2 linked regions of the Drosophila melanogaster genome follow. The gene in region 2 interacts genetically with the main gene of each other region. Each region holds a gene or a part of one and is shown on either strand. Other genes may lie near its edges.

Region 1 (8,756 bases), on a different chromosome or scaffold from region 2:
GGCCTCGTCCATCAGCTTCTCGCACTCCTCCTGCTCCTTCATTATGTGGCGCCTCGACTCCTTGTGCCGGTCGAAGCAATACCGTTTGGCGGTCTTGTAGCCGCAGACGTTGCACGAGAACAGTGACGATTCCACCTCAGACTCGGAGTCAGAGCAGGACTCCAGCAGCATGTGCTTTTGCGACCGCCTGTGGCGCCTCAAGTCTCTTCTCCGGTCCGTGGAGTAAGTGCAGCCGTTTATGTTGCAAGTCAGTCGCTTTATCTTCACCGCCTTGACTTGCTCCTCCTTTCTGGGCGCTTGTTTTAGGTGCAAGTCTGTAAAAAGCGAAATCAATCGTAGTTCAGCCGGCATTTAGGTATTCATTGGTACTCACATTCCATTTCGTCCTCGTAGATGAAATCTAGAGCCTCTATCGTCAGTGTTTCCGTTCTCTGGCATGTCTGCGACATATTTCCCTCGTTTGGTCTGCGTTCTTTTAATAATAACTAAACAAATCAACAATTATTTGATGGTACCAACATTATTTAGCTTGAAAATGTAGAATGCACGCGAGAATTTACGAATTTGGGAATTTAGTATTTTTCAGGCGGCATGTTGGATCTTATTTCCGTGCACCTTAGGAATTATGTTTATTTCATTTTAAAAGTACCCATCAGTGTTTTCGTATGAGTGAAAAGTTAGTAATTTTTAATTTTAATTTTAAATTAGTAACAAGACGACTTGTTAAATTCGGGACAAGAGTCACCCTGTGATGAACCACTTGTTACATGCAGATGCAGCCGGTGACCTCCTCTGGTCACACTGTCCATTTTTAATTTTTTGTAATAGTAGAGTTTTTTTTATAACATTTTATCCGTCTTTTATGCAATATATTTAATTATTATTAGTAAGAGGCAATCCCACACAAACATGCAATCAGTACTCACCCGCTCGTTATGCATTGGTAAGACAAACTGATGTGTGGACTTTGAGCCCCAGCCATTTAAATGTTTTCTATAAGCAAGATCCTAAACCAGATATTGATATTCAGCCCGCAGATCTTTAAATGCTCGTCAAATTGCCTCATTGTCGGCGCTTTCGGAGACGCACCAGATGCTGCAGAAGTCCTGCCGGGACTTTGCCAACAATGAGCTCAGTGGAAACGCAGCCAAGTTCGATCGGGAGCACCTGTATCCAGAGAAACAGATCCGCCAGATGGGCGAACTGGGCGTGATGGCAGTAGCGATTCCCGAGGAGCTGGGTAATTAATATTACGCCCACCTCAGCCCTCCTTATAGTATCTCATTGTATCTCTTTATTGTTAATCAGGCGGCACTGGACTGGATTATGTGGCCTACGCCATTGCCATGGAGGAAATCTCAAGGGGCTGTGCCTCTGCTGGCGTCATCATGTCGGTGAACAACTCCCTGTATCTGGGACCGCTTCTCTCTTTCGGAAACGATGCCCAGAAGAAGGACTACATCACACCGTTTACCACCGGCGAACGAGTGGGCTGCTTCGCGCTCTCTGAACCTGGAAACGGATCCGATGCTGGAGCTGCTTCCACCATAGCAACCGACAAGGGAGATCACTTCGTGCTGAATGGCACCAAGGCCTGGATCACAAATGCCTTCGAGGCGGAGGCAGCCATTGTGTTCGCCACCACCAACAAGCAGCTGAAGCACAAGGGCATCTCCGCATTCATTGTGCCCAAGGCTACCAAGGGCTTCTCGCTGGGCAAAAAGGAGGATAAGCTGGGCATCCGGGGATCTTCGACGTGCCAGCTAATTTTCGAGGACTGCGTGGTGCCCAAGGAGAACATGCTGGGCGAGCCGGGTTTCGGTTTCAAGATTGCCATGCAGACGCTGGACGCCGGCCGCATAGGAATCGCTGGCCAGGCGCTGGGCATTGGTCAGGCTGCCCTCGAATTGGCCGTGGACTACGCCCAGAAGCGACAGGCCTTCGGCAAGCCCATTGCCAAGCTCCAGTCCATCCAGCAAAAGATCGCGGACATGTCGTTGGCCATGGAGTCGGCACGTCTGCTCACCTGGCGCGCCGCCTGGCTGAAGGACCAAAAGCAGCCCTACACCAAAGAAGCTGCAATGGCCAAGCTGGCTGCCTCGGAGGCGGCCACCTTGTGCTCCCACCAGTGTATCCAGATCCTGGGCGGAATGGGCTACGTGACCGACATGGCGGCCGAGCGTCATTACAGGGACGCCCGCATCACTGAGATCTACGAGGGCACCTCCGAAATCCAGCGACTGGTGATCGCGGGCTCCATTCTAAAGGAATATGCTAGTTAAGATCAAAGTTATATATCCGTACTACTTGTGTCTCGTTTAATAAAGAACGTTTTTAATATACTATTTTGCTAGTTCTATTGAGTTGTATAATTGTTTATAATAGATAGAAATACATGAAAAAAACACCTACAACATTTTAATTCTTTAGAAAAAGTTAGCAAAACAATAAATCTTCGTTCAAAAAGTAAAGTAAAATAAGTGAAACTCTTGACTACTTTTTAGACGTTGCATATTTGTAAATTAATTAAAATAATGAACCTTAAGTGCTTTTAAAATATATTTATAAACAAAGCTTATTATTTTATATGCCTAATTATATTATATCTTTTAAACCAAATTTTAAATGACTCAAAAAAATGGGAACTTGGCGCCAAAACTGCAGCAAGGCTTTGTCGGTTAGCATATTTGTGTGGTATTTTTGTGACTTCATTCGGTATATTGCTGGTAGCTGTGCAGCGGTCACACAGCAAAAGCAAAAAGTTTCTTTATTTATTTGATAATTATTCGTTACGCGGTAATTAACGCGATGCAAGTGCAGCAGGAACGTGGTAATGAGAGTTTTTGCCACTGAGCTGCGCGTGTCGGCCGTCCAGAAAGTGCAGAAATCGCGTGAAGTGCGCGAAATCCGTCCAAGAGCAGAAAAGTGCCAAGAATAGCTGCGATGGAAACAGCGATGGATGTGGTGTGTGTAATGGATACGGCGGTGGGCGACCATCTGGAGGACCGCCAGTGTGCGCTGGAGGAGATCAAGCAGGCAGTGCAGTCGGCGGGCGCCAACTTTCAGCGGGTTCAGGTGCGCCAGCTTGGTTATACAATGGCATATGGGTGATTTGACTTACATCCCCCCCACTTGGCATCCTTGCAGTTCGAGCGCCTGGACTTCGGCGAGACGAATGTGCTGGAGACGTTTTACAACGCCGATGTGGCCATTATCGACCTGAGCATTCTCACCCAGCAGCGGCCGCTTTCCTATCACTACGGCGTTAGGGAGAGCTTCGGGATGAAGGAGAACATCCTCACCTACAACGACATCGATTCCAAGCAGACGCTCAGTCTCAAGGTGCGTTCGGAAGTGTTTACCTGGCCGGGCGTGCCTGGCAAACATCTGCGTTCGTGATCGGGAATCCGCTTCCGATAAGATAAATGCTATGACCAGCAACTGCGTGGACTCCTGGACTAGTTGTTCTTGCTGATCTTTCTACAGTCGAGCTTCCACAACGCGAACTGAGTTTATAACAAGTCTCTAACCTAGGTGCTTAGACACCTCTTTCTGGAAAATGACTAAAAATTATTCTATCTACTAGTCTTCCTTTAGCAAATTGCAAAAGAAACCGAAAAACTTCCTCTTTCCAGAGGTTAATAACTAAAACCTCTTTCCCATATGGCAGCCAATAATTTGAACTATGGAAGTTCGACTGTATTTCCGTCGAATCGTTTTCGTTATTTTTGTTTTGGCTGCGGCCATAAAGCAACAAAAGCATTGGCCCAGCAATAACAATAACAAATGCGAGCACGCCCACGCAAACACTCAAAGAGGCACGCACACACTAACAGCACGGTGTACACCAACGCAGCGTGGCCTGCATTCACAGTGGCGGTCATTAAATTAGGTACACTCTACTCCCCTTGCAGCTCTCGTGTGCCAACTACCTGTTTCTCAGCTACAAGCGGAATGCGGAGACCAATTCCTGCCACCTGACCAGCCAGCCCAACAGCGGCAACAACAGCAAGGAACCCAATGCCGAAGGACGAGTGCCCACTTTGCAGTGGCGCCTCAAGCGAAAGCTGCAAGATGTTGAGATCCAGTCGAAGTGAGTACAATCTAGGGAGTCCCCTTTTGCAGTAAGTCATGCACGGTGATTGCATATCGGAACACTATTTATAACATCCCCTGCGGCAGATTGGCTGCAAAAGTCACGCCCTGCATCTAAAATGAATCAGACCGATTTATTGTGTTGGCCTTGGAATTGCATATAAAATATCAATAATCGCTGAAAATTCTTAAGTCTCTTTATAGTATCATAATTGTCCTTTCAATTTAAATTACTTCGAACTTTAGTGATACTACTACGGGTTAACAAGTAATGAAATGAAAGTAATTGAAATCTTAAATTTGGTGTACCAGATAGATGCTAAGTTAATTAGTCTTTCAGCCAGAGCACGAAACACTGTTCCTATTATGCATTATTTGTGTACCTAAAAACTAAACGAAGCTATTTTCGGTTATTTACAGAGCCCACATGCGTGAGAAATTTCTGAGTGACATGCGAACGGCGCGGGACACGTACGCCACCAACGGCGCCAAGCTGCAGAGTATATTGCACGAGATGCGAAAGCGGCTGGACGATCCGCATGTCCTGTCTGGCGAAGTGGTACACAGTTTCATGTGCTCGCTGAGGGATGTGCAGGACTACGATGCCATGGTGCGACTGGTCAATGACCTGAAGAACATACCCAACACCCGGAAGTACGTGGAGACGGGCAACATGAGTTTCCTGTACGCCTTCGCCCTGAACCGAAGAAATCGAAAGGGAGACCGTGAAAAGGCTCTGGAATCTTCGCTGAAGGCGCTGGAAAAGAAGGAGAACCACTTTCCGGACATGCTCTGCCTGTGCGGCCGCATCTACAAGGACATCTTTGTGGAATCCGACTACACGGACGCCACCAGTTTGGCGCACGCCATCAAGTGGTACCGCCAAAGCTTTGAGGTGCAGCCGAATGAGTATGCAGGCATCAATCTGGCTACTCTGCTGGTTATCGAGGGCAAGGAGTTTACCAATACGGAGGAGTTGCAGCACATCGGCATGACCTTAAACAATTTAATCGGTAAAAAGGGCAGCCTATCCTCGCTGAGTGAGTATTGGGATGTGGCCACCTTCTTTGAGATCTCCGTTTTGGCCAACGACTACGCCAAGGCGATTCAAGCTGCCGAGTGCATGTTCAAGCTAAAGCCACCCAACTGGTATCTGAAGTCGACCATCGGAAATATCTCTCTTATACATCGATTTCGAAAGAAGCCCGAGGAACGCCAGCCGCCCATCGAGGAGCAGGTGTTCCAGTTCTGGATGGACTTCTTTCTGGAGGCCACCAACACCGAGGAGGTTAAGAACAGCATTCGCTTTCCGATTCTGGTTGGTACCCCTGATCTGCAGTTTAAGCTTTATTATTAACTCAAAACAAATTCCAGATCCTCGAGCCTCAGAAGATTTATATGCCCAGTTATGTGACTATAAACATGGATGCGGATGAGAAGTCCATTCAGATTGTGAACATCTGTTTGGCTCACGCAAAGAATGCGTGTAAGAAAATCCACGACTTCCTTTTCGTGGCATCGAAGATCAAGTCCGTCAGCCTTTACAAGAGGGATGATCGTTGTGCCTACTTGTACGTCCATCACAACTCAGATGATTTTCAAATATATTTTCCCTCCACTGAACGACGACAAAAGTTCTACGATATGATCCTGGAGATGACTGCAGATCAGGTGGTGTTTGTCAATCTCAGCAATGATGACGCTAATATCGAGGTAAGTTATTTATTATTCATATATACATATATTCCGGCCACTTTTGCTAATTATTATTAATTGTAGTACGAGTACGACTACGATGAGCAGAATCGCAAAATGGTGCTGGGCAAAGGTACTTATGGCACCGTGTACGCCGCCAGGGACAAGCAGACGCAGGTGCGAATCGCCATTAAGGAGGTGCCGGAAAAGAACTCGCAGGATGTGCAGCCACTGCACGAGGAGATTAAGTTACACTCTCAGCTGCGACATCGCAACATAGTTCGCTATTTGGGATCGTGCTCGGAGAACGGCTTCTTCAAGATCTTCATGGAGCAGGTGCCGGGAGGATCGCTTTCCGACCTCTTAGAGACCAAATGGGGTCCGCTCAAGGACAACGAGTCCACCATGGCCTTCTACTCCAAGCAGATCCTCGAGGGGCTGAAGTACCTTCACGAGCAGGACATTGTTCATCGCGATATAAAGGGTGACAACGTGCTGGTTAACACGTATAGCGGCGTGGTTAAGATCTCCGATTTCGGCACCTCCAAGCGGCTGGCCCGCATCAACCCGATGACGGAGACCTTTACGGGCACCTTGCAGTACATGGCGCCGGAGGTGATTGACCAGGGAGTACGCGGCTATGGCCCGGCGGCTGACATCTGGTCCTTTGGATGCACAAACGTTGAGATGGCTACGGGCAAACCACCGTTTATCGAGCTGGGTAGCGCCCATGCGGCCATGTTCAAGGTGGGCTTTTACAAGAAGCATCCGAACATACCCGAGGAGCTGTCCGCCAACGCAAAGAACTTTATTTTGCGTTGCTTTGCCATCAGCGTGATGGACCGACCCTCCGCCTCGCAACTTCTGGAAGATCCCTTCCTACAAGAGTGAGTTTGCTTAATTGTTTTGCCTAATTCCTTTCTAATTGCACTTTTAATTTTCTCAATAAGTAAACCCCGCAAGGTGCGCCCAGCCCTGCCCATCAATACTGAGTTCGGACGCAGCATTTCGGTGCCGGCTGATCGGTTTGTGCACAAAACCACACCGCCGCTGAGCTACAACACAACCTGCAATACGCCCACAACGCCGGAATTGGAGTAAGTTAAACGCTGCGACTATTCTTATCATGTTCGACCTTCCTCAATTACAAGCAGAGGTTATCTTATCTGTTGAAAATTATCATTTATATTTTGCTAATTTTAATGAATATAAAAATTTTTCCGTGCTTCTCTATATTTTCCCATATCGTCTACTATTATAAGAGTAACAAGTGCCTTTGCTTATCGTGTAGTTAACACATTGATTGTTGCTATCAGTAAAGTGCATATTTAATGATTGGAAAATGCGCACTCGGATTTTGATACTGAGAAGAGATAGCACTTGATGTATTGTAAAATAAACGTAATTTTATATTGTACTTTCTGTTTCCTATTTCAGCATAACGCATTCATCCTCGGTGGACATTGACGAGCTGCCCAGCAACCAGTTTATGCTTGAACGGCGAAATTCCCATGGATTTTTGCTCTCGCCAGAGATTGAACCTTCCACGCCGTCCTTGCGTACGAGCATTAGTGAGACGAGCGAGACTGACGGTTTTTACAGGCTTAAAAAGGATTCGCAGAGGCGGACAACGCTTTCCAAGGTGCTGGCACTAGACGAATCCAAGATCTGCGATATTTGGCTGAAGAAGGTCGACGCTGATCAGAACTCGATTGCGATTAGGAAAAGCGATTTGGAGGTTCTAATCCGAGGACTGCGGGACTACATTATGAACGAAAACGAAAAGCATTTGGAAGCGACTATCAACGAACTGAAACAAAAGCTGAACAACGACGCAGTTGCTCTGGACCATCTTCATTTGGCGCTGTACTCCTTTCAGGACGCCGTGGTCTGCGTACTGCGGTACCATTGCATCAAACCCCATTGGATGTTCGCATTGGATAATCTGGTTAAGCGGGCCGTCCAGGCGGCGGTCACTATTTTCTCTCCTGAACTGGGCGCCAATCTGGCGGACAAAGACCTGTCTGGAAATGATGATGAGAGCTTGCGTACAAGTCTAATGCAGAAGGGTTCCACCGAGAGCCAGGAAAAGCAGAGCCTGGAAAAAGTTCTTCCCACGAGCAACACTCGCGAAGGTGTGGGATTAACGCCTGCGGAATCGGGCGGGGATGCTCTGTCCAGTTCGATGGAGTGCGCGCGCATCCTGAGAGACATCCGTGACAATCAGCAGAAGCTGCAACGCCAGCTCCTTGAGCAGCAGCGGCAGAGCATGAGGGCCCTGCATAATATCAGTCAGGAGCTGGCTCACATTTACATGGGCGGCAGAAAGAGATTAAGGTTGGTAAACCAAGTAGGACATTGTAAATTTTATTATAATTCACAATTTCATCTTAACAGACGCACAATAAACGGCTTTAACAAAAAGTGCCATAGAATGAGTACCAGTGTGGGCGGAACGTCCGGAGTCCGTCCGAATATAGCGGGCAATCCCCGGAGGCAGCTAAACAAGCATCACTTTGGTCTTCACGAAGTAGACGAGCAGTTGGAGCAGTGGTTGACCCAGCAGGAAATAGACGAGTTCTCAAAGACGCTCATCCTGAATGAAGGTTTTACATTTGACGACTTTATCTATAACATGGAAAAGCTGGACCTCATGAGGCTGGGTCTGCGGTGCGTTAAAGCTTATAAGAAAAGTACACTTAATCCATGCTCAACTAACTTTTGGTATTTTGCAGCGTTGGCATCGAAGTGCGTTTGTGGAAACTCATTATACAAGAACGTGTGTGCACCTCGTCCGATTGTGTGGACAGTCCACCAAGCACTTACCACAAACCCATTGGAGGCAATAGCTCTTTTGCGCTTATTGACAACAACAATACGCTACCATCACCCACAACCACAACTCCCGGAACGCCGGGCATCAAAACGAAAATCAAGAAAAGCGAAAGCGAGTACGATTCGTGCAG
Region 2 (6,541 bases):
CTGGGGTTAATCAGTAAGGGAAGCCGCGATCATCTCGATCCCTGGCCAAGTGCATCGAACGTCTATATATGTGCGGCTCGGGCGGACCTTTTGCCGGGTCGCTTTGGGCCATGTTGAAATGCAATTGGCTACGCCCAAGAGATGTTGCCATGTTGAACGGGGCGTATGAGCAATCAAGGCAAATCGGAAAGAAAAGAGTAAAAGCAACAGTGTTTTCACACGCCCCGCCGTGAGCATCGAACAAAAACACAACTAAAAACAAAATCGAAATGTGACTAGTCGTAGGAATAAGAAATACGCTGACTTGTGATAATACTGCAGGCATACAGCCAACTCATCCCCGAAATAAGACGTCATCAGCACGTGGCCAGCCATAAATATAATGAAAATAAAATCGAACCAATTATGAGATATATATATATATATATAAATAGATACACATTTAGGGATGCAGCTGACGCAAAGAGAGTGCAATCTTTTCACGGTTTCGTCATATATTTTCGTTTTCGGCGCGACGATGACGTTTTCAGCACTCGTGCCTCGGGAAAACACCCGTAATGTGAAAACTGTGTGCCGCCTAATCCGTTAAACTGGCCGATTTCATGGCCCCGCTGGCGTCATGGCTTAAATACTATATACCACAACTAGTGGATGCACCTCACCTGGTCATATGTTCTTCGGCGATTTGTTTTGCTCTGGTTTGTCATCCGATGTCGGGCACTTTTGGCGCCCATCGCCATTATGGTACTATATAGCCAACTTATAAATATAGATGTTTGTTTTGCCACGTCTAATAGTCAACTGAGTCTAGTGCATTTCGCCCTGCATTTTCACTTCTGCAATCGATTGGCAACCCTCGGTTTAGTGTTTAACTGCATTTCACCATAGAAACTAATTTTCTACTTGGGTAGTTGTTTCAAAAAACCTATCCGAAGACTATCGAAAGGATACCTATCCATATGTAGCGCATGATAATCATTCTGTAATATTGACAATTAAATCAATTTAGAATGTGCATATAGTAGATTCCTGTGAATTGAAGGCTCACATGGCCCACTTGCAGTTGAAAACGCTAACCGCAGAGTGCTTAAAAGCTGATTGCTGGGAAACACTTAATGGGCGCTAAGTTAGCCGCAAAATACAGTCGCTTAAGAAGCGGCTAACAAGTGGCTAACCGACTTTGCCGCAGCGAATGAATTGGCAAAGCCTTTCAAGCCGTTTAGTAAGCCCAATAATCGGATGCCCCACCGCCGGGCGCCCTAACACCACCCACCGAACCAACCACCCACTCGGCAATGAAATGATCGATCTATCTTTCCCATGCTTGAGCTTCAATCGGCGATGTTTTTTTTATGCGGTTATTAATAAAAATGCATTGGCCATCCCTAGCCGTCGATAGTGAGTATCTGTGTGGAAATCGGACGCACTGCATCTGTGTGCGGTGTTTATTGTGCAGCTTGTAAATCATTTTGCGTCAGGCTGCGTCCGCTGCCGTCTGCTGAAACTGCGGCGCTTTGCTGACGCTGGTAAACATGTGTACGACACCAAAAACAGCAGCACATGCTCACCGAGAGCCAAGACGGGTCTGCACACACAACTAAGGTCAAAGTGGTGGTAATTGATTTAAGCCCGTCTTTACAGTTCGGTATAGTTGCCTCAATTAATTTTATGCAAATGCACTAAATTTCATAGCATACAATTTTTAATGCAAATGATAGCTTGAAACTAATTCTGATGTAACTATACAATTAATTTTATTAATGCACTAAATTTCATAGCATACAATTTTTAATGCAAATGATAGCTTGAAACTAATTCTGATGTGCTTAAAAAAAAACTATACCGAACATTTTTAGAGCTGCCTTTAATAGTACTCCAAATGCTTAAACTTTTTAATTGTTAAATCATTTTTGAATCATAATCCAAGAATTTTTAAAGTTCTCTGCCTCATTTTCTTGACCTCTACTGTGGTTGCTCTCGTATTTTGCGAATGGAAGCTTAATATTTTCACCATTTTTATGATGCATTTTGAGCAGTTTTCATGCAAATTTATGTCGTCATTGTGCGTTGTCCAACCTACCCCCACCAGCCACGCCCCCTTTTTTATTCAAGTTGCATTTTTCAGATTTTTTCCCGACCTGCCTTCTCAAACGGATTGAGCAAACAGTTAGCTTCTTGGCCGATTTGGCAATGCGCGCTGCACATTGCGTATACGCCGCGTGTGCTATTAGCGAATTAGAAGAAAACACCACAGCGGCGTTTGAGTTTGGAAAATACAAAAAAACAAAAAACGAAAAAGTCACCAACACCGATAAGCCGAAAGGGAAAACCAAATACATACATGTGTTTCCATTGGCAAAAAAGTGGCTGTTGCCGGGTGAGCTGGAGGTGGAGTTCGAGTCTGAGTTGCAGTTGGAGTTGGAGTTGGAGGAACTGCAGCAGGCCAGGTGATTGATATCGCAACCGTCGGGAAAGAGGTTGCGGCAGGGGTAAATCAAAGGCAGAGTCGGCAGAGGCGGCGGCAAGAGGGGATGTTGCTGGTGTGTTTGGTGCTGCTGTGCGTGTTGCAGGTGTGATGTGTGTGACTGCTGGTGTGTCGGGGCATTGAGGTTCTGTCTGTAGCAGGAGTTGTTGTTGATCTCCTGGAACAAACTGCTCTCGGTGTACAGTGAGGCCTCGCACTTAATGGCCGTTGCCTGGTGGTGGCTAATGCTCGTGTTGCTGCCGCCCTCTTGCTTCACCACAATCAGCGAGGCAAGCCGATCGCGCATCATAGACCACGATTCTCCGTTAAAGAACCCAAAATTAACAATGATGTTGATGGTGATGATGGGACACAAACATAAAACGCACACAGGACGGGACAACACAGATCACACACTATATGGTTTCTAAATAGGCACCTGTTTGGCGCCCCGAGCGGCGCTGGTGATCCAGCACGACTGTTCCGAGTTGGGCTGGGATTTTGCCTCAATTTTCTTGGCTGCGGCAGGAGTGGCCGAAGCTTTTGTCGCAGTAGCTCTGATTGCAGTAGTTATTATCGGGCTTCATTTTTCTGTCCTTGCCCGGCTGTTGTTTTTGTTGTGTGTCCTTAGACTTGAACTTGCCTCCTTTTTTTTTTGGCTTTTTTCTTGTTGCCTTTCCTTTTTTCCGGCGTTTGCGCAGTGGCCAAGTGACGATGTAAGCGACGTAACGACTTACGCACGCTATACTATATCAACTGGGGTCTCTATATACATATACATATATATTCGGTTGTGGTAGTTGCAGTAGTGGGAGGCACAAGGACGTTGCTTACACTTTACACACTGATACACACACGCGCGCAATGGGCAACACAAAAACAATTACTACTGTTCTTCAGCTCACGTGCTCGTTAAAATGTTAGCAAAACTTTCAGTTCAAAAATATCTGTGTCTTGTCTCTCAGAAATGAAACGAAATTTGAATTACTATAGATTAATTTACTGCACATTCGCAGCGGGGTAAGATAGATTAAACAAACATACGCAGCGTTGCCCACCGAAATATATGCATTGTTCGCTTAAGAAAGGTAAAGGTGAAGTATACGCCGCGTTGTCAACCGTTGGAAGTTATTACGCATACGCCGCGCTGTCGACCGGCTTCCGTTTCCGCATAGAACGAATGCACGAATCGATAAAGAACAACAACTTGTTGCAATTGTTTAACTCTTGAGCACTCACACCTATGTTGGCTTTGTGTTTCGTTAATACTGAACGCGATGTTTATATAGTTGTGTGGATTAAAGTCTTAGTTGGCTGACTTAAGATCGGAAATTCAGAACCATCGAGCTCGCCTCGATATAAGTTCTATATTTTGTATTGGCTTTTCCGTGAGCGGTGGCTGTTTGGGCTAAAGTTGTTAACAATGCGGCGTCTGTGACGCGACTGAACTTATCTTTACGGTTACACGCGACTATATTCAACGCGTCGCGTCGACAGCGCTGCCTCAGCTGGCGCCGTGCTGCGCTCGCGAGAGCGAGTGAGAGCGAGAGTGAGTGTGCGATGGAGAGGGAGGGGCGACGGCAAGCGAGCGGGACACGACCTACCTTTGCGGCCCGGCTATTACGTCATTTGGGGCCAACAACTGAGCGCAGCTCGTGCGAGGAAAATCGATGACGTCGTTGGCAGAGCGCCTGCGCCGGAAAATCCCCTCCACCCATTTTCAGCGACCGATTTTCCGAATGCAGTCCAGTGGGACAGTTCGGAAGCGGAAATTATGTGCGTCATAAAACCGACGTTGGCCATCCCTTTTGCTCGCATCTGAGATTGATTGGGGCTCTTGGTGCCGTTTCACCTGCTCCGGCTTACCACTCCGCCACCCACTTTTCCGCTTTTCCAACCGCCCACTGGGTATCCACTTCTCGCCTGCTGCCAAAACTTCCGTTTCTCTCAGTTATCGTACACAGGAAACATGTTTATTAATTTCAGGATATATAAGGACGTACAATTTGTAGGAATATTCCCTTATGCACATTGTACATCATCTACACACTTGTCTTTAAATATCAATCTCTTTTCCATGTGTAGACTGTACTCTAATGCATTTATAAAAAGCATGTTTTTAATGTTGTTTGTTTTTTTATTGTTTGTCTTAAACTACATATTCTTCTCAGTGTACTAAGTCTGTGTGGGCATTCTGTGGTGTCGTTTTGGTGGAAAGGACTTCCTTGCTCTCGTGTGTGTGGGTGTATTCAAAGCAAAGGAAAATGGACCAGATTTCGAGGAATATGTTTATGTGAGTCAATCCCATGATGGTGAGCGTGGGTGGAAAAGTAAAGCTATCATGTTAAATAGGAAGATAGAAATTTCGAAAAGAATAACAAGTATCATATGGCAAGAATTCAATATTCTATTTATAGTGATTTACTACTTTTGAATTTGGTTTATATTTATGCTATATAATATAATTTATAATTATGCTATAAATATTTCAAATTGAAATTGATATGCAAAACGGACTTTTAGCCTAGAAATGAGTCTGGTTTTCCTTTCAACTTAAATCACGATTTTATATTTATCTCAGTTACCCGCTTTTATTCCCTATTTCACTCCAAGTGCTAAGACAAATCGATTTCACACAAGATCCCAGGCCAATTTCGCTTTTCCACTTAACAAAATACCATCCTGCCACTTCATAAACCAGATCACTCTTTCCTCATCCCCAAATATAAATAAGCTGCGCCACAAATCATTTGGCCGATATAACTGGCAATAACACGATCCGAGCGATTTTCCCGCCCCGCGAGCCGTCGGAAAAGCGGGAATATTAATGCACTTTACCATTGACACCGGCGTTTGCAGCTCGTAAACAACAACGAGGAAAACAATAATAACGCAAAGCCAGTACAAATCTTCTCTCCCAAGATCGGCGACACACGACTAGAGAACGGTAAACCCGAAGACGCGGCGTCGACCGCGCTGCCAGCGTCGACTGCACAGAGAGTGAGAGTCTTGGCGCTCGGCACCCGAACCCAAATCCAAATCTTCGGGATCCGCAGACTCGTCTTTGCGGCGGCGACGTCTTCTGGCGTTTAAGGTTTCGTTTTCATTCGGCTTGTCGGCTTGTCGGCATGTCGGCCGCTCGTGTGCTGGACTGCATTCGCTGTGGCTATTTTTAGACAGGTTCCAAGCCACGTTTTCTAACTGTTGTTAGCGTACGAACCGGAGATCGCGGGCTGTGCACTTGGGCCTCTCCATGTGGAAGCCGCAGACAAAACGTGAGATCGCTGAGTCGGCCGGCCGACTGCTGCGTCGACCGCGACAGAGCCGAGCGACTTGGCTTTCTGGGCGCAGTGGCTCTTCCTTTCGTTTTCGGCTACATTTTTTCCCATAATGCTTTTGCCCGGGTCTCGCGGCTCTGGGTCCGGCTCACACTGCGGCCCATTGTGGCTCCGGGGTGCGGTGTGCTGTAATGTGCCGCTCTGTGGTGTGGCTTCCCATGTACATATATATTATTGTAGTTGGATTTGGGAGCGACGCAAGTGGAACTGGTCTGTGGCAGGCACCATGTGCATTCAGCACAGTGGCTGTGGATCACTCGTAAAAGGATGATGCCTCTCCATGGCTATTAAAGAAGTAGTTTCTAGGATAATGTGGTACTACCACTAGAGGTAATGAGTAGTGTTCCTAGTTATTACTCCGTTTATTCCCGATCTTTATCTATTTTTGTTATAATCTATATCTATAATCTTAAAAGCAGCTTTAGTGGCATTTCTATATTCATTTCATTGTAATATGAGAAATGGAAATATCCACGTTACTCATTAGTGGATGTTAATGGTCAGAGTTTTAGTAGTTCCATGGCGTATTAAGCTTTCTAGAAACCGCCTCCAAATCATATGGACTCTAAGCCACTGTTTCGGCCAGCTTTCTTGCTGTTGTCGATGGTGCTGTCGCTGTTCCTTTGGCGATTATGGTGGTGGCAGAGGTGGAGGTGGTGGTGGTGGTTCCAGTGGTGCTAGTGGGGCTAGTGGTGCTGCTGCTGTTGGCTGACCTGCTGGTGGCCCCAAAAAGTGCATG

Evidence for each region. Genes that interact genetically often act in the same process or in processes that back each other up.
Region 1: of Hr38 (region 2) and Ask1, changing one suppresses a phenotype caused by changing the other (phenotypic suppression), as found in Drosophila melanogaster (one study listed by BioGRID).

The regions. Positions count from the first base shown.
Region 1 is NT_033777.3:19,876,969-19,885,724, forward strand, and holds the start of Ask1 (apoptotic signal-regulating kinase 1), read left to right. Parts: upstream 1-2,750; 5' UTR 2,751-2,955; coding exon 2,956-3,075; intron 3,076-3,147; coding exon 3,148-3,342; exon of another isoform or gene 3,343-3,914; coding exon 3,915-4,093; intron 4,094-4,515; coding exon 4,516-5,413; intron 5,414-5,469; coding exon 5,470-5,808; intron 5,809-5,874; coding exon 5,875-6,677; intron 6,678-6,740; coding exon 6,741-6,887; intron 6,888-7,227; coding exon 7,228-8,127; intron 8,128-8,187; coding exon 8,188-8,460; intron 8,461-8,525; coding exon 8,526-8,756. Other genes in the region: CG17186 (uncharacterized protein), read right to left, coding at 1-314, 374-449; Arc42 (Activator-recruited cofactor subunit 42), read left to right, coding at 910-943, 1,031-1,240, 1,309-2,282.
Region 2 is NT_033779.5:20,710,696-20,717,236, forward strand, and holds the start of Hr38 (hormone receptor-like in 38), read right to left. Parts: upstream 3,894-6,541; 5' UTR 2,775-3,893; coding exon 2,342-2,774; intron 1,606-2,341; exon of another isoform or gene 507-1,605; intron 312-506; exon of another isoform or gene 1-311. UniProt on the Drosophila melanogaster protein: Binds to NGFI-B response elements. Plays an important role in late stages of epidermal metamorphosis.